Linked DNA regions of Caenorhabditis elegans. The protein of the gene in region 2 interacts with the protein of the main gene of each other region in a pairwise test. Each region holds a gene or a part of one and is shown on either strand. Other genes may lie near its edges. The genes, in order: sol-2 and sol-1.

Region 1 (10,874 bases), 7.3 Mb from region 2:
ACTTCAACAATAAAAAAGAACAGACTCGGCAATTAGACGAAACTTTAAGCCAACTTTACCCTCGCATTACTTCTTCGCAAACTTTAACAACTTTTCACCTAAAACTTACTAGGGGATACCGTATATTCTCTATTAGAGCGGCGTATCTAATAGAACGGCGTATCTATTAGTGCGGCACCCTGACTGGCTATTCGAAAATTAGTGCGGCAGTCTCTATTAGTGCGTCACCCCTTTTCTGGCTCAAATATTCAATCACTCAAATGGTATTCTTGCTCATTCTTCAATGATTTCATAAATGTTCACTTAAACATTGAATTTTTGTGTCTTTGTGAGGCAAAAACACACAATTTTCATAAATTTTCACATAAAATATGAGGCTTTATAAGGGAGGTTACTACTCTCGAAAGTAGTAAGTTACTCACTACTACTAGTAACTTCAAAATGTACATTAGTTATTGAAAATTAGTGCGGCAGTCTCCGGTAAAACGACAGTTTCTAATACTGCGAAAGTCGCAAAGGGCTCGGAAATCAGTGCGGCATGCCGCTCCAATAGAGAATATACGGTATCTATAATTCTGCAATCGCTAGAAAGACAGAAAAAAAAAAATCGAAGATAGGAAGGAAATTTGCCGCACACCCCTGGCAGCAATACTAATTTTCGAGGAACAATTTTGATGTAATACGACAAATGCAAATGCAAAGCTTATAGATGCGTCAGAAAAATACGGTATAAAACTTTCAGGTAGAACGAACATCGTTGCTTTGTTAAAAGACATTCTGAACGAGAAATCTCGTAAAAGGCTAAGACATTTGAACATCCGAGGAGCCGGATTAATTGGCTGTGGGTGGTCAGATAAAGTATGTTATTTTTTGCTCCTCGTTGACAAATCGTTCTCCGTTTTCAGCTTTCTGAACTTTTTCCATCTCTCAAAACTTTAAACGTTAGTAATATATTATTTGAGAATGACGAGTTATTGCGTTTATGCGTTAGTTTTCCCAGTCTGTGTGTTCTGGATATCAGTGGGACAAACATCGCGAGTCTACATGGATTATCCAATTTGAAAAACCTACAAGAACTCTCAATAAGATACTTGGAATTTGCAAACGCCAATAATTTGGTGGATTTATTCCAATTAACCAATTTGAAAGTACTGGATATGTCGAAATCTAAGTAAGTACATCGTTTTGGTGACCAGATTGAAAAACAATAAAACAAGATTTCAGAAATCTAGAAACATCAAAAAATGTTCTGAGATTTGTGGAGTGTGGCATGAACCTACCAGAGTTGAGGGTTTTGGATTGCAGTGGGACTGATATTGATGAAGAGTTATTTGCAAAATTGTTAAGTTTTCTTCCAAATCTTCAACAAATTGCGCTGATGGGTAAGTTTCGGTTTAAAGATGGCGTAGTCGAATTTTAGACTATGGTTTAAAGCATTATCTTAACCAGGGATGCGCGTGTAATCTTTTTTGCCATGAAAAAAGAAACAAGAATTCTTGTTTAAAAAAGCCAAGAAAGATTCAAGAAAGTTTTAAGAAACCAAGAATTTCAAAACACACTTTTTTTAAAACAAGAATCACAACAAATGGTAAAAATACGGTTAAACCTAATACTAAACATAGCCTAAAATTTCCGAAAAGCAACAAATTAATGATATGATCGTCCGAGAGGCGCTCATTTAAGTGCTGAAATCAAATCGGATGGAGCAAGACAATTATTTTCGCAACGTTGACGGCTCATAACTTTGGTCAGCGAAATTTTTGTGATGTTTCGCTTATAAATATTGTCTTGTCAGAGTAATGCAAATATTCGTTTTTTAATATTTCAGATTGTCAATTAAAGCATGCAGTGTTTTCCACCGAAATTCGAGTTCTCAACTCAGCAACATTAGAGACTTCTTTTCAAACTCTCAACTACTACTCAAAATTGAAAAAGAGTGACTCGGTTATGAAGTGCTTCCAGGATATTTTCTTTCTGTTGAAAGAATATTACACACAAAACAAGGAGTATGATATTGCCGGGTGTTTAGCAATTCTTATCCGAACCATGGAACAATTTGTCACCCATGTTCAGAAAACCAGAGAATTTCTTTCTTTTAACCCCTCATATATCACAACTTATGCAAGCGGAATACTCTGCGTGACGGAAATTGTATCGTATGTTTTACACATTCTATTTTGCTTACTATAAGGAACAAAAAATGAGATGCCAAACTTTAAAGCAATAGATTTTTGAGGCACCGGAGACATTCTAACGTTGTTTTGATATCTGTTAATTACCACAACTCAGAAAACTAGCCTGAAAGCTAAAAACGATCTGAAAAATAGGGTAATCAGAAAATTTCAAAATTCAAAATGTATAAGTTTCAAGCAAATGTGTTTTTAATGTCTATCATACAGAAACAATGCTCAAAGACTACGTCCGGTATGTGCAGTGACGGCGCTCCGTGTTCTGCTTAATTTCATCCACAATTTTGATCACCTTGGCTCAAATTTTACACAATACCTCAGAAATTCAATTTGGAGTGCGATACAGACCTTAGTCACCCTCGACTTATCCATCATAAACTACGACGATGTTTGTGATGCGGCAGTTTGCTGTTTGGCAGAAGTTTTTGATACATTTGACATCGCTGTTCCCATATTACAAGTTTTAGTGTATTGTTTTCCCAGGAAACGCGATAAATTCAAGGTTTCGAAAGAGGGAACTATAAAAGACTCCAAAATCCTTATTAGGAACCTACATTTGTGTATGAAATTTACTCCATATTATACTCCGTTATGCCAATCCATCATTGACATAATTTTCTGTCCAATTATGGATGATCCACAGACTTGTCTTCATATAGTTGAAAATAAGGGAGCCAAAGATTTATTCAATGCCATCAACAAGTTTGACAATGAACCTTTACAACTTGAAATTCTTCGCATATTGAAAAGATTGGTGGTTTGTGCGAATGCAAGTTTCGAGAATTTCATAGAGTTTAATGTTAAGTACTTGAAGTGAGTTAAGCATTTACACACTATTAGACATTCCCCTTAAATTTATCATAATTTCAGAAAAACATTCAACAAATGGAAGTCAGACAGGCTTTACCTTCTGCACTCAATCTTTTCGATTCTTTTGAATCAAACACGGCGAGGTTTTCGAAATTATGTGAATCGACTGTTGAGAAACAATTATCATCGACTGGAAACAAGTGAAATTGTAGATATCGATTTGCCAATTTTCCATAGCTTATTTGCGTCAACACAATTTGATGGGCCTATCCTTTGGGCTCTTTTTAAAATAGAAAAGTTCTTAGAGCAACACGATGACGGCAGAAGAATTGTGGAAAAATTCAATATACTCAACTTGATAATCAATATCAAAATAAAGTCGAAACTGGTGAAAGTCGCTAAAGAACGAATCTTACTAATTCTTAAATAGTATTAGAAAATCAAACAAAGTTCCGGCTTCTATACCCGAGAAATCAAACAATTAAACCCTTTCATTACCAATTTCAAATAAATTTTCAAAATTAAATTTCTATCGATTTTCGAGCCAACTCCATTATTTCTATTACCCATATATGGTATACAAACTAAAAAAGGATAACCAGGCTCGACACGACAAGTTTTTTGTCAAAAACAAAAATATGTGCGCTTGTAAATAGCACTGAAACTTGTTATCGCCTAAATTTATGTTTTCAAAGTTTTCACGTTGTTCTATTTTAAAACTATTAGGAGTTTCAATCCTGAAATTCCATTAAGCATCTTGATCCTGAACACACTGTAATCTTTACATTTGCTCTATCAGCCGACTTTCCAGCCGTACAGCCCTGATCCTGATACCAGTGTCACTTATGTGCGATTGGAGAAGATTTAGAAAGGAATCGTAGAGTTTTAAAAGTCTTCTTTACTAACTTACGGGCGGTTTATTGGAAATATTACGGGCTATTAGGGAAGGAGCATGGTGCCGATATGAAAAAGCATAACAACTAGAGACCCTAAACATTCAATTTTATATTCAATTATTCAATTGTTTTCCTTCATTCTTATGTGTATCATGTTTTGCATTCTTTTTTTATGACCCGATTATAAAATCGTATTGACATATATAAATTTAAAAAAATTAGTTAATTTACAGTTAATTGTTTCTCGTTGTTATTCAATTGTTACTAGGAAATATAAATTTCATAACTTTTTCGGAAACTTCTCTCCCAGAGTAGAGAAAAGGGAACAAATAATTAGATTGGCAGCAGCAGCAGCAGAAGCTTCTCTTAAAGTGAATAAGTGGACGGAGGACCGACTGAAGAAGATGAGACTACCAATTAGGAGCAATTGGAGCACATGCTCGGAGCTGCAAAGGATACTACTTTCTATGGAAAGCTTTCTGCAAATTGAAGAATATTTAAAGGCTGTAAATTTTTTTTGAAGTTTTTTATTCTAGCAGTTGAAAACGAAAGAATCGCAACTGTAGAAAAATTTCAGTTAGGATAATTTCAAACTTTAGTTGTAAGAAGGATAAACCAAGATATGGGCGGAGCTTGCAAAACTCCACCCATTTCCTGGTTCAAAATTTCCAGTTTCTTTTCAAATTGAGTGAAGATTGTTTTATAAGAAAACTTGAAATTTTTGAGCTACCCCCCACTTCTTGGTTTCCCCTCAGACTTATGAAAAACCTACATTTTTTCACCGAATGTTTTTTTTTCCAAATCCAAAAAAAGAAGACGTTCATTTTCTCGTAGACTAATGTATTTTTCTGCCAAATTTCCCTGCCCCATTCTGCTCTCTCTCTCTTCGTTTTCCGTTAAAATGAAGAGCACCCACCAAAATGAAGGCGAAGAAGCAATTCCATCTTCTCGTCCTTTTCCTCTCTCAATTTTCGGGCGAGTGTATTCAGATGGAGCAGCTGAAGAAGAGCACACTCTTTTCCTTCTGAAGGTCCCTCCAAAAATGGATAAGTGGACAAAGAAGATGTAGTAGAAAAAGGAGAAGAAGATACATCGATTTTTTATTTCAATTTCCATTTTTTTTTCTCTTCTGCATTTTTTTTTTCTACATTTTCTAGTCTTTTAAGCCAAATATAGGTTTAGCTAGGCTTTCTGTTAGGCTTAGACCTAGGTTTAGGCTTAGGCTTAGGTCTATTTTGAACTTTTTTCAATGCAATTCCCGATTTTTAAAAAATATTTTTTAGAGTATAATTTTGCCACAAAATATTGATGGCCGAGCATTTTTTTTCAGTGGCCGAACTTTATATGTTCGCGGCCACGTGACTTGTATCTCATTTGATCTTTTCTTTTTGGTGTTTCAGAAAATTTAAAACCTTGACCTACCTGATACACTGGCCGTGAAATTGTGAAAACTCGGCCACCAATTTTCACGCGGCCACGTGGCTCTTCCAAAAAACCAAAAAAAAATTGGACAATCTCTACTTTCTTTTCAAAATTTGTTTCCTTCAAAAAATTATCTTTTCTGTCCAAAGAACAATAGAAAACTTGAAATTTCTGGAAAAAACAAAAACTAATTTATTTCTAATTTTTCTGTGGGGATTATTATTCATACCAAATTTTTCTATTTTTTCAGATGGTAAAATGATTGAATATCTGTTATTCATCATTATCAACGTCATCACACTGATCACATGCTCATATTGTCCCATAAAGCATATTCATTCGTCTACACCCACTACAGGTGAGCTCTGGAAGTTTCCATAGAACATTAAAAAAAAATGGTGCAATTGCAGGATTCATTGAATCTCCGGGATATCCATCGGCATTCTCTGCACCTCTTGACTGTATATTCAACATAACAACAGCTGCATCGAATGTGATCCAATTATCATTTGTCTCATTTGATCTAGCATCAAAAAATCAATTAAGTGATCAATGCCTGGATAGTTATCTTCTGGTTGTTGTAGTTGATAGACATGGTAGACAACATGTTGGTGAGAGGTTATGTGGGAATCAGGTTCCACTGTCTATTAATACTATGCAATCATGGATGCAAGTTCAATTCGTCACTACTTCAACTAATCAGAAGCATCGAGGGTTTAGGATTCAGTACAGGATTCTTTCGGAGGGTAGGTAGAGCTGGAAACTAGTATAATTTTTTTCAACCAGTTCTTTGTAGACAACTTTTCTATCTTGTTTCTTTTCAATTTCCCATGCTTCTTGCGAAGTTCTAGCAAATTTTCCCTTTAAAAATACCATTTCCAGCAGCAATCCAGGAGCCATCTTCAACCCTCGGAGAATCAATGTTCAGTGGTTGTGGTGGACATTCCACTCCTGGACAACTTTCTGGTGAGGTTTTAAGAAATTTGTAAATTTTTGCCACATGGCTGCGTGAAAAGTTGGGGACCAAGTTTCCTATTCTCGCGGCCAAGGGTGTCAGTGTCCCGTAAAAATTACAAAAACGGGACAACGGGAATTCCCGTTCCCGTGAAAACGCTCAAAAACGGGACAAAAGACGTCCCGTTCCCGTAAAAATGACAAAAACGGGACAGCGGGAATTCCCGTTCCCGTGAAAACACCCCAAAAACGGGACAACGGGACAAACGGGAATTGACACCCTTGCTCGCGGCCACGACACCTTCATGTTTCGAAAAATTTTGAAGAGGAAAAGTGCTTTAATTGGTGGCCGAGGTTTGTTTCTTTCTAGGCTACGTTGCAAAAACTGTTACCTTACTACGTGGCCGTGGAATGAAAATACTCGGACACCAGGTGATTTTTTTTTTTGAAATTTCAAAATTTCAAAATCTATAAAACTATTTCTGTAATGGTGCGTCCATAGTCTGCGGAAAACGGGAATTTCCCGCGTGCGGAAGCGTCCATAGTCTGCGGAAAAACCGTAGTTTCCTCGCTTTTTTTTCCTCAAAATTCAAAAAAGTAGGCGTGGTCTTTTTTCGCTTTCCCATTGCTCAGCTTAAAATTTTACAACCTCTAATTTGTTGGACACGCCCACTATTTTGAAATTGACCAATAACAAAGCGAGAAACTCCTTCTTTTTTCCGCAGACTATGGACGCTTCCGCACGCGGGAAATTCCCGTTTTCCGCAGACTATGGACACACCATAAGAAATTCAAAAAACTTAAAATCTGAAACTTCTACATTATACAATTATAATATTCAGGTGAAATACTGTCACCAGGCTATCCAACCACATATCCGAAGAATTCCACGTGTAATTGGTTGATCCGTGTAGAAGCCCGACAACGAATCTACATTCGAATAGTTCATTTACACTTGGCCCCCACTATTGCAGAATGTGAACGAGCATCACTAACAATAATCGATGGATATAAACATGAAAAATATGGAATTGATCGAAAGGAATCCACGTCAGAGACGTCTGAAGCAAAATTCTGTGGAAGTCAGCTGTATTATGCAGAAGAGGGAATGAAAAGCTATTTATCAAGTGCAAATCGAATTGTTGTACGATTTATTACACAGGAAGGACCACCGTCTTCAATGATTGGGGAAGAGAGGATTGGATTTAAAGTTGTATGGACTGCAGTGGAGGGTCTGATTGGAGAAGGTGATGAGAGTGTTAATGGAAATTCTTGTAAGGATCAATTTATGTGCCATGGGGGACAAGTTTGTGTTGAACAGGTTTGTGAAAAATCAGAATGTTTTCAATGAATCTATATGTAGTTCCTTGTTATTTTTTAGAAATTAACTTGAATCATAAATTCAAAAAAAAAGAGTTGTTTAATTACAAAACTTTTTATTTAATCCAAAATTTTGGGTTAGTGTAGTCACTAAAGTACGCAAACGGAACTACAGTACCCAAAAACATCCCATTTCACGACATTTGCTAGTTTCGAGCTGGAAAATTGATTTTTGAACGGGAGAAAACATAAATTCGACAGTCTGAATATTCGAAAAAAAAGGAGAAATTCTAAAGTTGAACAGAACCTATTTAGAATAAATTTTGTTTTGTAAGAAAAATTAATTAGCCTTTTCGTGATTTGTATTTTTGATATTTAACAAATTGAATTGCCACAATGCTGAAATCCATGTATTTTCAATTACTTTTTTCTACTTCAGGGTCATGGAATTTGCGCTTCACGGTCCCGTCTCTGCATTCACAGCTCTCTCGTTTGTGACGGAATCCATAATTGTGTTGAAGGAGATTTCTCCGACGAGCAACACTGTAAGCTCATTTTCCAGTAAAATCCAAGATCTAAAAATTTCCAGGTTACTCCCGAGAGATAATAACATCGGCGGCACTCGGATTCTCGTTGATTGTGCTCACGATGCTCGTCTTGGTGTGCTGTGATCAGTTCAGGAAGCGGCGACGGCTTCGGGTGATGATTCGGGAACGAAGAGCCGCGTCGGAGAATGGGAAATGTAAAAATATGAATAATAATTCGATTACAACACGGATACAGCCGAACCGGTGACTATTAGAGAGCGAATTGTGAATGTTTTCGCGATTCGCTCGACAAATTTATCGAATTTTTCACAATTTTATAATTTAAAATTGCTTTTCAGTTAATGTAACGGAGCTTTTTTCTTTTATTTTTAATTTGAAACTTTAATAAACATTATTCAAACATATAAATTATTTACTTTCGACAATTTTCAAGTGTTTTGCCTGGCAGAATAGAAAGAATTATGGAAATATTAATTCTTTATCAGCGGGAAAGTAAAAGAAAAATAACGGCAACTCCGTGCGGCGATATTGCGAAAACCGCGCGCGCGCATTGCAAAGGGGCGGAGACTCGTCTTTTTGTCATCTTTTGTCATCACTAAAACTAACTAAAACAAAATTTTCTATATCTTTCGCAGGTTTTCGCTTTTTTAACGAGTTTTCTCATTCTTTCTATGGAAATACTGATGAATGTGTAGAGTTGGTCGATATTGGGACCTGTGAAATTTATACTTTCAGCTCAGATGTTATTCTTCGCTGTTTCTTCTTAATTTCTCTTTTTAATCACTTGAAACTCAATTATATCTTTATTTCAGCTCACTTCAAGCGGGAATGTCATCACGAGGAGTTCGAGCGGCGGGTACCGATGGGACGGACTTCCAAAATCGGCAGAGGGTCGCACAGCACTACCAGGAGAGCGCTCAATACAAGTCGATCCTCAAGTGGTTCTTCGTTCCACACTTCTTGATCCTGGTCTTCATGTGGCTCAAGGTTGGCAGCGAACTCCTCCGAACAAATTTCGGATGGAAAAACGCGTTCTTCGATCGACTGGACATGCCGTCAGCCTACCCATGGGAGTATGTGTGGTGCTTCTCATTCATTCCGATCGTCCTCGCCATCTATTCGTTCCAACGAAACAAAGTAATTTATTTATTGATCAATTTGCCACAAATATAACTTCTTATTTCAGCTCAAGATCCTCCACTACGCCTACTATGCCGAGTTCGTCGTCGGAATCTTCCCATGCATGATCGGGCTTGGAGGACAACTTCCAGAGCTGATGGAGTATGCTCAAGACATGGAGGGAAGCAACACACCGACATTCAAAGGAATCTTCCCGATGGTCATCATATGGTACATCTTCTTCGCGGTCGCACTCCAGATTCACGGATTCTCCATGTACTTCATGCATCACCTTGCCGCCGCATGGGCTCCAGTCAAGCGAGATTAAATTTTCTCCGTTTTGTGATATTATTTTTCAATTTTCCCCCATTTGTTGAGTTGTGTACCTTTTCCTTGTTAATAGTATTTTTATTCAAATTCCTGCTAGTCTCTATTGCCAAATTAATAATTCCATATCTTTTATTTATTTTCTTACTTTTTCTAATTACCGGTTACTGTTCTACAGTTCCGTTGATACTTTTCTGTTTCAATATTGATTGCATTTGTTTCATTTTGTTAAATCAATTTTCAGAATCGAACTCCAAAGATGTGGGGCGAGACATTCGACGATTTCGAGAATGACGAAGGAGAGATGGCAATGGCCAAGCAGAACCTGATCGCCGAGCCGGCTCGAGCTGATTTCACTTTCGCGAAGCTTCCGTTGGGAATCCAGCCCGTCGATTTCATGAAGACTCACTTCGCCGAGACCGCCGGAAAATCCATGCAATTCCGCAAAGGAACCACCACATTGGCGTTCGTCTACGAGCCAGCAACTCCAGCTGACAAGGGAGGAATCATTGTGGCTGTCGATTCACGAGCCTCCAGTGGTGAATACATCTCATCCAAGTCGGTCATGAAGATCTTGGACATCGGAGATCGTATGGTTGCCACGATGGCTGGAGGAGCTGCTGACTGTCAGTTCTGGACCCGAATTGTCGCCAAGTACTGCACGTGAGTTTCAATATTTTCAGCTTCAAAACAAAAATAATTATTTATTTTCAGTTTGTACGAGCTCCGCGAGAAGACCTCAATCACCGTGAGCGCCGCGAGCAAGTACTTTGCAAATACGCTCTATGGATACAGAGGACAAGGATTGTCAGTTGGATCGATGGTGGCCGGATACGATAAGAAGGGACCACAAATCTTCAAAGTCGACTCGGAAGGAGATCGTTGCCAGCTTAAAGTGTGCTCAGTTGGCTCAGGATCTCTGAATGCCTACGGTATCCTCGATAATCACTACAAGCCAAAGATGACGGACGACGAGGCCAGAAAGCTCGGCCTGCGTGCGATCATGCACGCCACTTATCGGGATTCTGGATCCGGAGGCGTCTGCAATTGTACGTGAAGCTTTTTGCTCGGCTATTCCACAAAATGGACCATTTTTCACTAAAAATGGCTTTTATTTTGTCTAAAATTTAAATTTTAGACGATTTTTATTCGAAAAAATTCTTCGGATAAATGAAAAAATTGGTTCATTTTGTGAAATCTCCGGCCACCTTTAATCTAATCGCTTCTATTTTTCATCCTCCAAATTTCAGTGTGCCACATCACGCCAACCGAAAAGATTCGTCTTCCAC
Region 2 (13,601 bases):
CCTGGTGGGCCCGGTGGCCCCGGTGGTCCTGGTGGGGATTCTGGAGCAGCAGCGTCTTCTCCAGCTGGTCCAGCTGGTCCTGGAGGTCCAGCCGGTCCAGGAGATCCCGGTTCGTTGGTACTTGTAGTTCCTGCGGCTCCTGGTTGTCCATTTGGTCCTGGTGCTCCTGGCTGCCCATCTGGCCCCGGTGGTCCGGCTGGTCCTGCTGGTCCAGCTTCTCCTGGTCCAGCAGCATCTCCATCAGCTCCAGGAGCTCCTGATGGTCCTTCTGGTCCAGCATTTCCATCTGGTCCCGGTGGCCCTGGTGGTCCAGCAGGACATTTGATACAGTTACCTTCGACTCCAAGGAAACTATCAGCAACTCCTGCAGCTCCATTCTCTCCATCAGTTCCAGCGGTTCCAGGCTCTCCAGGCGCTCCATCTTCTCCTGGTGCTCCTGGTGGTCCTGCTGGACAACCAGTTGATTGAGCAGCACAGTTACATTCTCTTTCTGTACCTCCGCCGGTTGCATATCCAGCAGCTCTCTTTGCAAGAATATATCTTCCAAATGATGGAGACGTTGCTTGATTCTGAGGAAGATTTTCTCGAACCATTTTATTCCAAACATCATTGGCTCGAGATTTGAAATGAACCATTTCGCTGTTGATATTCATTTCAAATTGTTGAATATCAAGAGAAATTGAGTAAAGAGTCAGCAATGATGCGACAACGATCAACGAGCAGCCGATCGTCGACGAAAGAATAAAATAATAGGATGTACTGTGGGACATTGGATACCAAATGAGTGATGTTTTCTTCCATTTCCACTTACTTATATATGAATTATTTTTGTACTGATCCAATCGGTTTCTTGTTCCGATATTCATCTTTTATTACAACACAACCGTTTGATATCTAGTTTTATGTTTTACTATTCATTTACTATGAGAATAAAAAAGTTTCTGCAGTACTGTAGGAAACTATACCGGCAGAATAATGCTTCCAGAACTAATTTTTTCTAATTGAGGTTCCGTGGAAAAATATCGTTTTAGCAATTGAGATAACTAAAATTTTTCGAGAGACTTAAAAAAAAGAAAATTTTCATATTTATGCATGAATTGAAAACGTGAATTTTTCTTATTTAATTTTAATAAGATTCCACGGGCGAATATTTTGTTTAATAAATATGAAGTTTCTGAATTCATATTTGCCATTGCTAAGTTTTGAGCAACTCGACGTTCGTATTTTTCTTGTTTCTCGGTTGAAAAAGTGAGTTTGTTTGCAACATTTTTTTACCGATTAGAGCTTCTCTCTTTGTTAGCTCACCGCGAACAGTGTGTACAACTTTGTGTCTAGGAGGCAGGCCTTCACCTACCTGCCTACCAACCGCCTACTTTTTTCAGAACTTCCGCGCGGTCGCCAGTGGTTGGTGCTTGCATAGCGTAGATTTACATATTTAATCTTTTCCCATCAATTTTCTTTCGAAAATCAAAAAAATATATAATTTCCGGATAACATAACAGTAGGCATAGGTAGGCAGGCGAATTTTTATGTGCCTCCTTAGAAGGCTTTGTGTGAAAATAGTAATACACGCTTTGAGGTGTTCCATGCCATAGCAAACTAAATTGGGGCTGCGTGGACATTTCTCCAACTTTCTATCGATCGAGCATGTTTCGATTCAAATTACACAAAGTCACGTTATCCGAGTCAATTTGAAAATTCGTGAAATTTCCATACTGTCCTTTGAGAAGTGGAATTTTAATTAATTTAAATTAATTAATAACAATATGGTTTTGCCGTGAGACTTATCATTATGCAAACGTGCCTAGTTTATAAAAAATTGTGGTTATTTCCACCTAGGTCCTAGAAGCTGTACATAAGAACTTGTTGGTAATTTTTTTTTTCTGCTCAACTTATATATTTTGATTTATTGTAGACTTTCGATTTATTGCAATAAGGATTGAAATGGGCAACAAAAGCAAGAATACAAAGAAAGAAGGTGCGGAGAAAAAGAGATCAAAGACGAAGACAGCCAAGAAGAAAACCTCCACTCTCACGCATTCAAAATCCGTGACATCGACGGATCCAAAAGAATATGAGAAAGAAAAACGACGTGATGATAAGGATGTTTTAAGAATGACAAAAGAAGATGTTGGGAAAGAGAGAAAGAAGGAGGCACCGAAGAAGGAACAATCGAAGGATCAATTGGTAAAGGAGCAACCAAAAGAGCAACCAAAAGAGCAACCAAAGGAGCAGCCTAAGGAGCAACCTAAGGATCAGGCGAAGGATGTAGTAAAGGATATAGCTAAACCCCCATTGAAGGAACAACCAAAAGAACAACCAAAGGAACAGCCAAAGAAGAAAGAAGAGGAAAAAACAAGCAAGGTTAAATCATATCAAATATACACTGATTTTTAACTAATGTTGAATCATTTTTCCACTTTAAAATTTCTAATATCATAATTTTCAGAACATGGAGATAAGTGGAATGGATATGGTTATGAAGGACGACGGGAAGAAGACAAAAATGGACGATGGTTACGAGGATTTCGGTCCAGGTGCAGCTCAATAAGAAATAAGATGAAATGACAAGAAGGAACAAAATAATGCTAATGAAAAAACCTTTACTTGAATAAATGTATGATCTTTTAGTTTTTGATTTTGATACAAGTCCGATTTTCCGAATTTCAGGTACTTTTTCGAGAAAAGAAAGCTTTCCTTGCCTGTTTTTGCATGCGAAATAGTTATTTTTCTAGTAAGCTGAGGAAGATGGACGTTTGCGTTTTCCCGGTTTAACCCATATTTCTAAAATCCAAAAGAGTTTTTTTCCAGAGAAAGTTAAATTCATTTTGAATTGAATTTGACTGTTTTCAATGAAAACATTAAAGTGTTCAATAAATGAACAAAGAAAACAAATTTATAAAAACTAAAAAAAAACACGAAAAAATGTATTTAAGTCAGCTAAAAAATGTTGGCAATGTATCGAAAGGTGAACAATAATATCACAAGGAAAAATGAGGAGAACGGAGTTTGGCTAGAAGATATCGTGAGCTTGACCCGACTGATTTGAGATTTCTCTTGAGTGATAAACTGATAATGTGCATAAAATCCGGTTGCATCAAAGATGTCATTCGTTGAGAAAATCATTCGAAAGTAATTGGATTCTGATAATATTGGACCTTTTGGAGCTGTTTTCCCACAAAAACGACGATTCGTTCGATCATGAGTCTGATAGTTTGAAAATAGAATATAATCACTTTGAGTTGTTTCGTCGCATCTAAAAATGATAATTAATAGCATAATTTTTGAAGTGTTGGAAATTAAGACAACAATACAGGCTTGTATTCAAAATAGATGGTTTTTTTTTTGAAAAATTGTTAAAATTTTTAATTTAATTTTTTCTCACCCTTCGTTAGGTGGTTTAACTAAAACTAATGTTTCATAAACTGGTAGGTAAATATAACATGTTTCATATAACCAAAAACACTCACTGGTTAAAACCTTCAATGTCGAAATATTCAAAATGAATATGAACAACTTGATCATTTCTTCCATGGAATATATATTCACAATATAAATTTCTCGGATACAATCCTGGATAGTTTGCAGACCAAAGTTTCCCATTTGTGTGCTCTGATGAATTGAATGAGAAGCGACATTCTGTCAATAAAAGATTTTACAGAATTAATACAAAATGTGATCAAACCTTTCTTTTTATCTACTTTTGCTTTCATATTTCCCATATTCCAGTCAGTATGAAATTTGTAATCTAATCGAAAACCAATATCATCATTTGTGCTTTCTCGAATAGCCTTTGATGACTGAAATTATGAAAATAAAAACGATCTAAATTATCAAGTTTTTTAAAAGTAGCCTTTTGTTTTTTGCTAGATAACGTTTGAAATCTTTCATAACTTGGTTGAACTTGCTCTAGAGCAGCTTCATTTTTAGAGTTCAATCTTGATAGAATCAAAAACTTTACTGGTAAAATTGCAAATTAATTCAACACTAACCTTTGTATTATATTCCAATTGTAGAAGATTTGAACTACTCATCAAATTGGGTGGAGCTCGTTTACCACACCATTCATCAATTCTTGAAAGACGTGACCCCACTCGAACATCAGCAGACAGATTATCCACTTCTGTGCAACTGAAAAAAATGAACAATTTTCCAGGGTAGATCTCGGTTTTATTTTTTTCAATTCTTTTCATAAAAAACCTTTTCTAATTTTTTTTCTGAATTAATAACTTATCTTCATGTGAAGATAAGGTGCTTTTACAATGAACTGTATATTTTCATAACTAACCGTTTGGTAACGTTCTTGTTATCCGGAACATACAAGTTAAAATGTGTAAATTTTACACTAATCTTCTCATTTGGGTATCCCTGTAGTACAATTTGACATTTCGTTGGAAGAGATGATGAAGTGAATCGTCCAATCTTATCAGATGATAGTTGACCTTCTTTGAAATTTTCCGAGTTGATGTTCAGCTGACATTCGGACGCTGTTTCTGTAGTTTGAAAAACTGTTGAGATTGTAGATATGACTGTGAAGTTCAGGAATTTATAGTTGGGTTGTGCGATAGTTTTTACTATTTGAGAAATCAAAAGTTGTACAGTGGCGGCCAAAAATTTATCAAATTTTCGATTTTTGATTAATTTACAAATTTTTCAAACGAGCACAACTTAAAAACTGGGCATGCTATCGAAAAAGTTCAACTAATGCAGTATTGTCCATAATTACGTCTACTTGTAGTCAGTTGTTTAAGTTGTTTACCAGTGTCATTACAAGAAATACAGCGGCCGACATCTCGTGAGCCCGTTTTTTGACAACTTTTACTGATTCGCCCGTATCTCGAAAACTAATTTTTCTAGAAATGTTTTTGAAGTAAAATAGTCTGCATACTGCTTGCCATCATTTGTCACTCACTTTGTTCTGAAAAATCCAGCAAAAAAAGCTATGAGAGATTAAACTTGAATAGTGTACGACCAGATCTAGAGCATTTCTCGCAAGTGATGAATGTATTCCTTGATATCGTGTTTGAATATAGCTCAATTGTGATTTTACACTTGTAATTATTAAAAAATCCTCGAAAAAATATATTCGAAGTAAGAAACCTGATTGTTGGTTGTAGAGCATGAGCAGTGCCTAGTGAGCGACTAGTTTGCACTTCCATTCAGTTTGTAAAAATGTTACTGGTTGGTTTTGCTAAATTTTAAACTCATGCTAATATTCTTATTCCAATTACCACGCTATCTATCTCAACCACTCACATTTTTTGTTATGATTTTTTCAATTTTGACCCAAATTCTTATTTTGTGTTGCGGACAAAGTTGTTGGATTCGCAAAAGAATTTATAAATTTTTAAAATTAGAAGACTTGTTTCCCTCATCTAATACTAAAAAATAAGGAAAAAATAAAAACTTGGGTCAAAGTTATTTAAAGACAACAATGTGAAAATTTTAATAATGAGATTAGGAAAAATTGAATATTCGCAGAAATCAAGCGAGTTTCTAGATTTATTCGACATTCTTTTGCGAAGTCTTGGCGTTTTTGGTAAGTTTGAATATTTTTAAGTAAGCTTCCCCTTCACCGTAACTGACATGCTACAGCTGCAAATGATTATATTCTCATAAAAGCTTTTCCATAAATAAGATCACTGTTCCAAAACGTATTTTTCTACCGCACAACCCTTGGATCAAAATACTTACCATTAACATGCTCAAGAAGTATAATGAAAATCACATGTAATATTTTTAGCATAAAAATTTGAAAAGGCCCTGGTTGAGAGTTTGGTGCCAAAAGAGGGGCTGAATAATGAGCGAACGGGGGAACGTCAAAAAGACGGAATTGATAGAAAATGAATGAATAAATGAAGAGATGGAGGAATGAAAAAGGAATGAAAAAGGATAGAATCAAGAGAAGATTCAGTAAAAAGGGAGGTATGCTTCACCCTTTTTCTCCTTCTTTAAGCTTCTCCTCCTTCCATTTTTCTGCTCCTCCTTCTCCTCCCCCTAACCCCCTTCTTTTGCTCTTCAACACAACAACTCAACTCACCCGGAGATTGGCTCCAAACCGCATTCGAGTACTGCAATTCGATTACGAAGCCAACGGCCTGCAACACACAACAACCTCCTGTTGCCTAAATTGCTTCAACACACTCACAGACACACATACACAACCGGAGACAAGAAAAAGTAGAAAAAAAAATGAAAAAAATGAGGAGGGTTTCAAGTGGTTTAAACTTTCAACAACAACTCATCATTTAGGAAATGAGATGAATTGCACAAACGATTAGTTTTTGGACTTAAGGCTAATGAAATGAAGCTTTTGATACATCTTAATTCTTTTTCGTTTTGATTAAAAAGTTTTGAATTGAAAGGTTTGTGCTCGTGTTCAACTGGGGGAAACTTTTGCTTTTTTTTCTTGAAAGTCAATGGGGGGTTTCTTTTCAAAATGATAGGCACTTTTAGGAGAATTTGGAGAATTTAACTAATCTGTAAGTTTTCATATAGTTTTGCTCCAAAAAATTTATTAAAAGTTTGAATTCATCATAGTCCAAGATATCACGAAAGCAACCAATTTTATTAAGAGAAAATGTTAAAATTCTGCCGACTTTTCTTATCAACGCCGTCAGAACCTAAGACCGGCGCCTGGCAATTGGGTTATAATGTGGTAATATTTGTAAGGAGAACTGGCACAATTCTAACATGTCTTTCAGATGAATTGGTTGATGTTATTTGGCAATAATACAATTACAAAATTAATATAATACAATTATTGCAGAATAACTGGAAGAAAATTTACAGATAAGTTCGGTTTGCCAATTTTATCGAATAATCACACACCCTACTTCCCGAATATAGATCAGACGCTTGACATTATGTCGCAAAAGGAACGCATCAGAAAATTTAAATATTTTAACTGTTTTCCATCATTCCAACCAATATTCTTTCATTGAAACCAAAAACCAGATCGACGCTGCTCAACTTTTAACTTGATTTAGGTTGATATCCTGGCAGTTCAAATAATGTCTCCTTTCAACGAAAGTAGGTTTAAATATGTCTATAAACAAACTTTCGTCTAGTGTTTAAAAAATTGAGCAGGAGTTGTTTCTTTCTCAACGATTTTTTGATAGACATGTCTACAATTAGAGCAGATGTATATATTAGGGATAAAAGGATCTTCGAAACATTTTGATAGTTCAGAGAACAAACTTCAATTAAAAATAGATTTGTTTCCCAAAACCTAAATAATATGATAAATTATACATTTTAATAACTTGCTACCTTAAATTAACACTATTTTTAAATGAAAAATGACAACACTAGACAAATTCTAATTTGTTTTTGTCCCGTTCCACGGAAACTTAAAAATTTTCTCCCAATTATTCTACTTCTGAGTCATCAGTTGTCTGATTTCTGAATCTTTGTGTTGTCCAAATTGATTTCAGATCTTTGTAAAAGTGAAGGGAAGTGTAACGTCAAGGATCCCACGTTTCCAATGTTTCTATTTTGATGTCACTACTTTATTTTGCTCTCTTTTTAATGTTTGAATCTCTGGTGGTTATGTTGTGTTCGCGTTTCATTTTGTAACGTTTTTTTTTAGATAAAATACTACATTCTGAAGTTTATTTCGGGATGAATTTGTTTTTTTCATGGCTATTGCAAAATTAGAAGAATTGATAATGGATTTGATCCTATTACCGAAAACCTATTTCATTTGGATTTACAGTGGAGCACTTTACAGCGGATAAATTTCGTTCTAAAATTTTGTCGGTTTTGTTTTTCATTATTTTCAAGGCTAGTAAAAGTACCCCAAAAGCTGTTTTACAGATTTTAGATAATTCTAACGATTTATAGTACTTACGTAGAAGGCAAAGATTCTCAATTTTATGAGTGGATCAATAGTTTTTTTCAAAAAAATTCAATCTTGCCAAAAAATTTGCATTATGTATGTTTATCCCTGTCATTCTTGAAATCACAAAAAAATTTCAGAAAATATGCTTTTGGATCTGTGACATAGGTTTCAGTTTGAAGCCAAATCCAAGGTTAACTTCAGGTACAAAGCCCCACTTTAGAAACATCAGAATGCAGAATAATTTTCCAATAACGTATACATACTTTTTTCTTTTCAAGAACGTGCGGAAAAAAGTGCAAAAAAGGAGAACGAACCCGTTCGACGTCGTTATTCCCAGCTGAGAAATAAATCAACAACGAGGAGGTCGACGAGACGTAAATTGATTTCTGGACGGATGTCACCATTTCAATGAGACGTTTTTCGAATTTTCCTTCAACAGACTCGAATATTTGTAAAATTGCATCACGGCCAATATCCATGACTATTGAATTTACAACTATCTGAAAAAAGAAAAACAAGTTAAAACGGGTAAATATATTTAATATGTATTATTCAAAAGTTAAAGTCGAAAAATACGAAGAATAGAGTTTAAAATTCGCCCCGAAATTTGCATTTTTAATGGAATTATTCCATAAATTCTCGAATTTTCGCAATAAATTTTTCATACGGAATTAATTTTGCTAATTTTCATCATCATTAACTGTATATTAACACTTTTTTTTTCTTTTTTTTGGGATGAAAAAATTCGCAAAAAATTTGGCCGTGGTGGAGAGTTGAACTCATCTGAGCCTGGGAGGATGAGGAAATCCTAAGTCATCGGTGACTGCGACAAAAATGTTTGTTTGTTTTTTTCTGGACCCTTTTTTTTCCTTTTTTTTGGGACGAAAAAATTTGCAAAAAAATTTTCCCGTGGTGGAGAGTTGAACGAATATATGTATTAACATGAAATTCTTCCCAACCACTACTTTTCAAAACAGAAAATACCTGAAATCCTTTTCTTTGAGGTATATGGTAAGTGCAATTGACTTTTGATGGATAATAATATGGATAATCCGGTGAATATATTATTGCCTGAAAGTTAGTATTTAAAAAAATTTCTCCGAACTTAAATCATATCTTTATACCTTTTGCTTTTCAACTCTATAACTGCACTCTGCCATTTCCACCGCATCGCTTGTAAAGTTTTTTTTAGGAATTGCTAAAAACGATCCCCGAAATCCACGCGATGACTCTTTTCCACTCGAAATTTGCAGTAGAAAGTGCTGGTCCCTGAAGCGAATTACTTGACGCTTTCCATACTTTCTCAATGGCTTTTTTGGAGGGCATTGAGAAAAAAATCGAGCTTACTTTGAAAAGAATTGACGTCCCGAAGAGATTTCTTTTCCACAAAACTCAAAGTCAGCTCGTTCTCCAAACTCGATAAGTCCATCGGTTGAATGGTCGAAAAGCATAATTGAAGATGAACAACTGCAACAAAAGAATGAAATTGTTAGACCGGAAACTCTATTGTATTCAAGACATTCTTCAAAAAATAAGGTTTTAAACTTACACTCCAATTCGTGGCGGTAACTGGAATACATCGAAAGTCAATCGAATTATATGGTCCGGTGGTGCCTGAAATTATTGATAATCGGGGTTGGCGGCAATTTTATTATATCTTCTTTTATACTAAACAAATTCAAATTAAAACAAAACCTGAAAGTGATAAAAAAGGCAGGGGACACCTTCCAAAGGGGCCGGAAACTCCGGAGAATGAAAATTCCCGCTTGTCACATTAAATAGCACACATTTGCATTCATGTTCCGATGCATGAGAAAAATATCCAAAAAGGATCGGAATCAGAAGAAGCACAAGATCTTCGGCTCGACGACACATTCTGACGGAGACATCATCATCTCATCATCCAAAACCTGCAAAGTTTGACTAATTTCGTTTGAAGAATGTCCGGAAATTGGTAAAATGAGAGAATAGGGAAACGATGGGTGAGGGTGGATTAAGAACAAACAGACATAAAGATAATGAAGAGTAAATGGAGAACATCTAATTGGAGGAACTATAGAAAATTAGAATTGGGATATTGGGTGTCAAACATTGGAACGAAAATGTAGAAGCCACCTATATCATGAAAACTGAGAATGCTCTGATATTGTGAAAATAATAATCGATAATTTTTCGAAAATTGTATCAAACTCGCAAATTGTGTTACAACTACTAGCCGCGAAACTAGTGAAAAAATTGACTGTAAGAATAACAGGTTGAAGTTTCATGATTTGAATTTCGTCACTGAAGTATCTGTGATAATGTACTTGTTTAATTATTTAGAAGAAGCACTATTCTATTTACATGTATCAAACAGTAATACTTACATATTTTAAAAATCTAATAAAAGACCAAAAATCCATATTCCAGCAAAACTGATCCCCAAATTTTTCCCTCTTTCTCAAAAATGTACTCTTGTATAAAAATGAATCAAATAAAAATTTTAGTATCGCCAATAAAAATAACACTCTCAGCACTTACTGAACAGATTTAAAGATATTTGAGACGTAGTAGAAAAACAAAAAGAAGATATTTTCAAAACGAACGTATATATCAATGTTTTTGTGATTGAGAAGACAGGCTCTCAGCTGTGTACTAGAGACGTCAGGAGTATTTGACAAATCTGTCAGAACATCAATGGACCACTCAAATGTGTCAATGTCCGCAGTTTGAAATTGGGGAAACGGATATCCTATATTTATATTTTCAGCAATAAGAAACCTTTAGAAGTTTTTAAGAGATTAAATATAGAAAACAACGAGAACAGGCACAGTAGTTTAATTGAAATTTTTATTTATTTTTAATTTTCAAATTGGCCAGCAATCTGTGTATAAAAACAATTTTTGCTCTAAACATCTGACAAATTTTGATATATAAATTTCAGCGACAGCTACTATATAACAACGGAAATAAAAACCCATTGATCAGATGTTGCAAGTACACGAAGAAAGGATGAAGAGAACAAGGATTAGTAGGTTTAGCAGAAACATATGAAAATGAAGGAAACAGAAACAAAAAGAGCCGTCGCTGTGTCCATATTTTTTGAAAAAGTAGTCATAACAAAAGGCAAAAAGATGTGAGAAAGTGATATAGTGTTGGGACGATGGGCACAGGAAAAACAAGGTCTTCAACTTCAAAATGAAGACAAACGAGTATGAAACGGGAGATGAAAAGTATTGAAGCCACTGGATGCATGTGTCTTTGGTTTCAATGAAAAAAGTTCAACTACGAAAATACTGTCATATTATGTTCGGGTTTAGTTTGAATGGTATTCATTTATAAATACTGACTGTTGGAAAATAGGGAAAAATCCAGTGAAACAAAAATTCAGTTTCGAGACGGAGCTCCGTAGGGTTTTTTTAAAAAGCAAACGCCTTTGGGCAAATGAATATGAAAAACAAGGTTTTCAACATCCAAATTAAGAAGCAGAAAATGTTGAAAAATAAGAAAACGATTGTAAAAAAGAAGTGCTAAAAATGACGGCCATGTGGTTTGTGTATGTGACAATGCTCCAAGTTGCTCCAGGGTCCTCCCACTTTTCGCGACGCATACGTCCCACCCCCTCGAAGAACTTTTTTCTTTTTTCTCGTATGTGCCAAAGAAGGCTTTAATGGGTGTCTTGAGAACTTGGTGAAATAGTTCTGAAGATGAAGAGGATCAGTCAAAAGGAGGACCACTGTTCGAAATGCGCGAAACTTGTCAAGTGAAAAGTGTGCCTCTAACAATGAATTAGTACACTTTCCTCTTTGTTTTCAAGAACATCAAATCACCACGTGGAGAATTCAAGTTTAAGCCTGGCAGCTTTGCTGTCAGTTTGTTACATCTGGTTTTAAAAAAGATCCATGAAATGGTTACTTTTCCTTTACTAATATTATTTTTCTTTAATAACTAGAAACATTATTAGGAAAATTTTCTGGAACATTGTTAGTTTGGAAAATATTAGTTATACCGAAATGTTGTAGATTTTGTTCTGAAATTCACAAAGTTCGTTATGATACTTACAAATACAAAAAAAAATCTTTTTTGACCAAACAAATTTTAAAATATTTTATTTTAACGTTTTTAATTTAAATTTTTATCAACTTGTTACCTAATCCGTTGGAAAGTTCGAATAAACTTCAAAATTGAATGGAGTTGCTCAATCAAAAACTTTCAAAATTTTTATTTTCTGAAACGAAACTGCAACCAAACAGCAATCTTCCCCACTATACATAATATTTGAGATTGGAAACGGAACAATTTAATATAATATTTGAAGATTCTTTCCAGTGGAGAATCAAATCTGGAGGCTCCCGATGTGAAATTAGTTTAGTGTTAAAAAAGGAGGAGAAGATTGTTGAATAGGATCATGACGATGTTGTCAACACCCGGAAAAAGAAAAAAAGAAAAGAAGAAGAAGTCGAAAAAAGGAGGAAGAGTTATGATGTAGTACTCATATGGATTTACTACAAGTGAAAGTGAAAAACAAATCCATTGAAGTGGGCACTTTAAGCGGATAAAGTACGTGGGAAAACAGGGCGTGAAACAAACAAATCTTTTAAAAATGTAGAAAGACTTTTTGAGATTCGTTTTTGAAGGAAAAGTTAGAGAAATGGAAAAATCAACATTCTTTTCTGAAAGTGACTGCATCAGAAAATTGAACATACCTTAAAATGAAGATAATTTGTTCTTGTTCAATTTTATTTGTTCAAAAACAGTATGCAAATCCTCACAGACACTATTATTTTTGTTAAAACTTCAAAATAAGGTTTTGAGGAACACATAACAGCTATTTAAAACAAGGAAAAGTTTCATAGAATTTTCTTCCAATAAATAAATAAATAAACACCAAGGAAAATATCACAAGAATAACTAATTAATTCACGCAACCATCTCAAAGTTCTCCTGTTTTTCTTCACTATTTTCTTCCAATCTTCTCATCAAAATTTCACCAGACTTGGCAATGAGTGCAAAAAAACCGAAACCGCATAGAATTATTGTAACTGAAATATCCTGGTTTTCTCGGAAAAAATTTGAGAAGGGAAAACGTACCTGCTGCGGAAATCAGTCCCCACGAGGGATTTGTGAGCAGAAAACCAATTAAAGATGCCAATTCTAACACATAAATGAGCCCCGCAATGACTTGTCGATGGAGATGAGATCCAAGAAATGAACCAATTGGTGCTAAATTATGAACAATGTAAAAGTGGTGTAAAACATCAGAATTCGAGGGAATTTCATTTACCCATTGTTGCCACTACTGGTATTGTTACAGCAAAATAATTCCATGCAGTTTCCGATATGTCTCCCATCATAACCCCACGATACCAGAACCCAAACACAGAGACGATTCCTTAAAGTTGTACAGTTTTTTATTGTACTTTTGTGTCAAGTATACTCCAAATAAGTTTTGATAGAAAAGGCTAAAGGAATACTTAGTTCTAGGAGTTACAAACATTCTCTCACCTTTCAAAATCATAGTTGTGGGTGTAGCTGTTTTTTCGCTGACTCGAAATAATAGGGTCACAATTGAAAACATACAAATATCAATTCCACTTCCAGCAAATGCGTCAAAGACTCCTCCAACAATACCTGTTAAGAACAGAAGAAGACCTTTCCAGAAACAAAATTCTGGAATTTTGACAAATGTCGGCCTCTTTTTTTGAGCATTCAGTAGTCCGAGAGCAAAAGCAAATGCGGTCCATATTGATACGAACATCATTTTCTTCTGTGCTCCAGT

What was found.
Region 1: the proteins of sol-1 (region 2) and sol-2 interact in a protein complementation assay, tested with the Caenorhabditis elegans proteins (one study listed by BioGRID).

Annotation. Positions count from the first base shown.
Region 1 is NC_003279.8:14,719,433-14,730,306, reverse strand, and holds sol-2 (CUB domain-containing protein), read left to right. Parts: upstream 1-5,567; 5' UTR 5,568-5,575; coding exon 5,576-5,675; intron 5,676-5,727; coding exon 5,728-6,063; intron 6,064-6,199; coding exon 6,200-6,283; intron 6,284-7,113; coding exon 7,114-7,592; intron 7,593-8,030; coding exon 8,031-8,136; intron 8,137-8,180; coding exon 8,181-8,386; 3' UTR 8,387-8,541; downstream 8,542-10,874. Other genes in the region: K05C4.9 (Protein zyg-11 homolog B), read left to right, coding at 747-858, 906-1,171, 1,225-1,382, 1,829-2,156, 2,400-3,002, 3,060-3,429; K05C4.10 (uncharacterized protein), read right to left, coding at 4,176-4,374, 4,668-5,011; K05C4.2 (Protein jagunal homolog), read left to right, coding at 8,968-9,276, 9,326-9,586; Proteasome subunit pbs-5, read left to right, coding at 9,845-10,248, 10,300-10,634, 10,836-10,874.
Region 2 is NC_003279.8:7,386,166-7,399,766, forward strand, and holds sol-1 (Suppressor of lurcher protein 1), read right to left. Parts: upstream 9,754-13,601; 5' UTR 9,719-9,753; coding exon 9,539-9,718; intron 9,458-9,538; coding exon 9,393-9,457; intron 9,311-9,392; coding exon 9,191-9,310; intron 9,113-9,190; coding exon 8,968-9,112; intron 8,915-8,967; coding exon 8,828-8,914; intron 8,344-8,827; coding exon 8,158-8,343; intron 6,099-8,157; coding exon 6,041-6,098; intron 5,528-6,040; exon of another isoform or gene 5,426-5,527; intron 4,494-5,425; coding exon 4,289-4,493; intron 4,132-4,288; coding exon 3,993-4,131; intron 3,801-3,992; coding exon 3,686-3,800; intron 3,640-3,685; coding exon 3,471-3,639; intron 3,257-3,470; coding exon 2,941-3,256; 3' UTR 2,884-2,940; downstream 1-2,883. Other genes in the region: col-35 (Nematode cuticle collagen N-terminal domain-containing protein), read right to left, coding at 1-770; C15A11.2 (Protein PXR1-like), read left to right, coding at 1,945-2,364, 2,450-2,551; C15A11.4 (uncharacterized protein), read right to left, coding at 12,743-12,864, 12,914-13,045, 13,107-13,214, 13,328-13,601.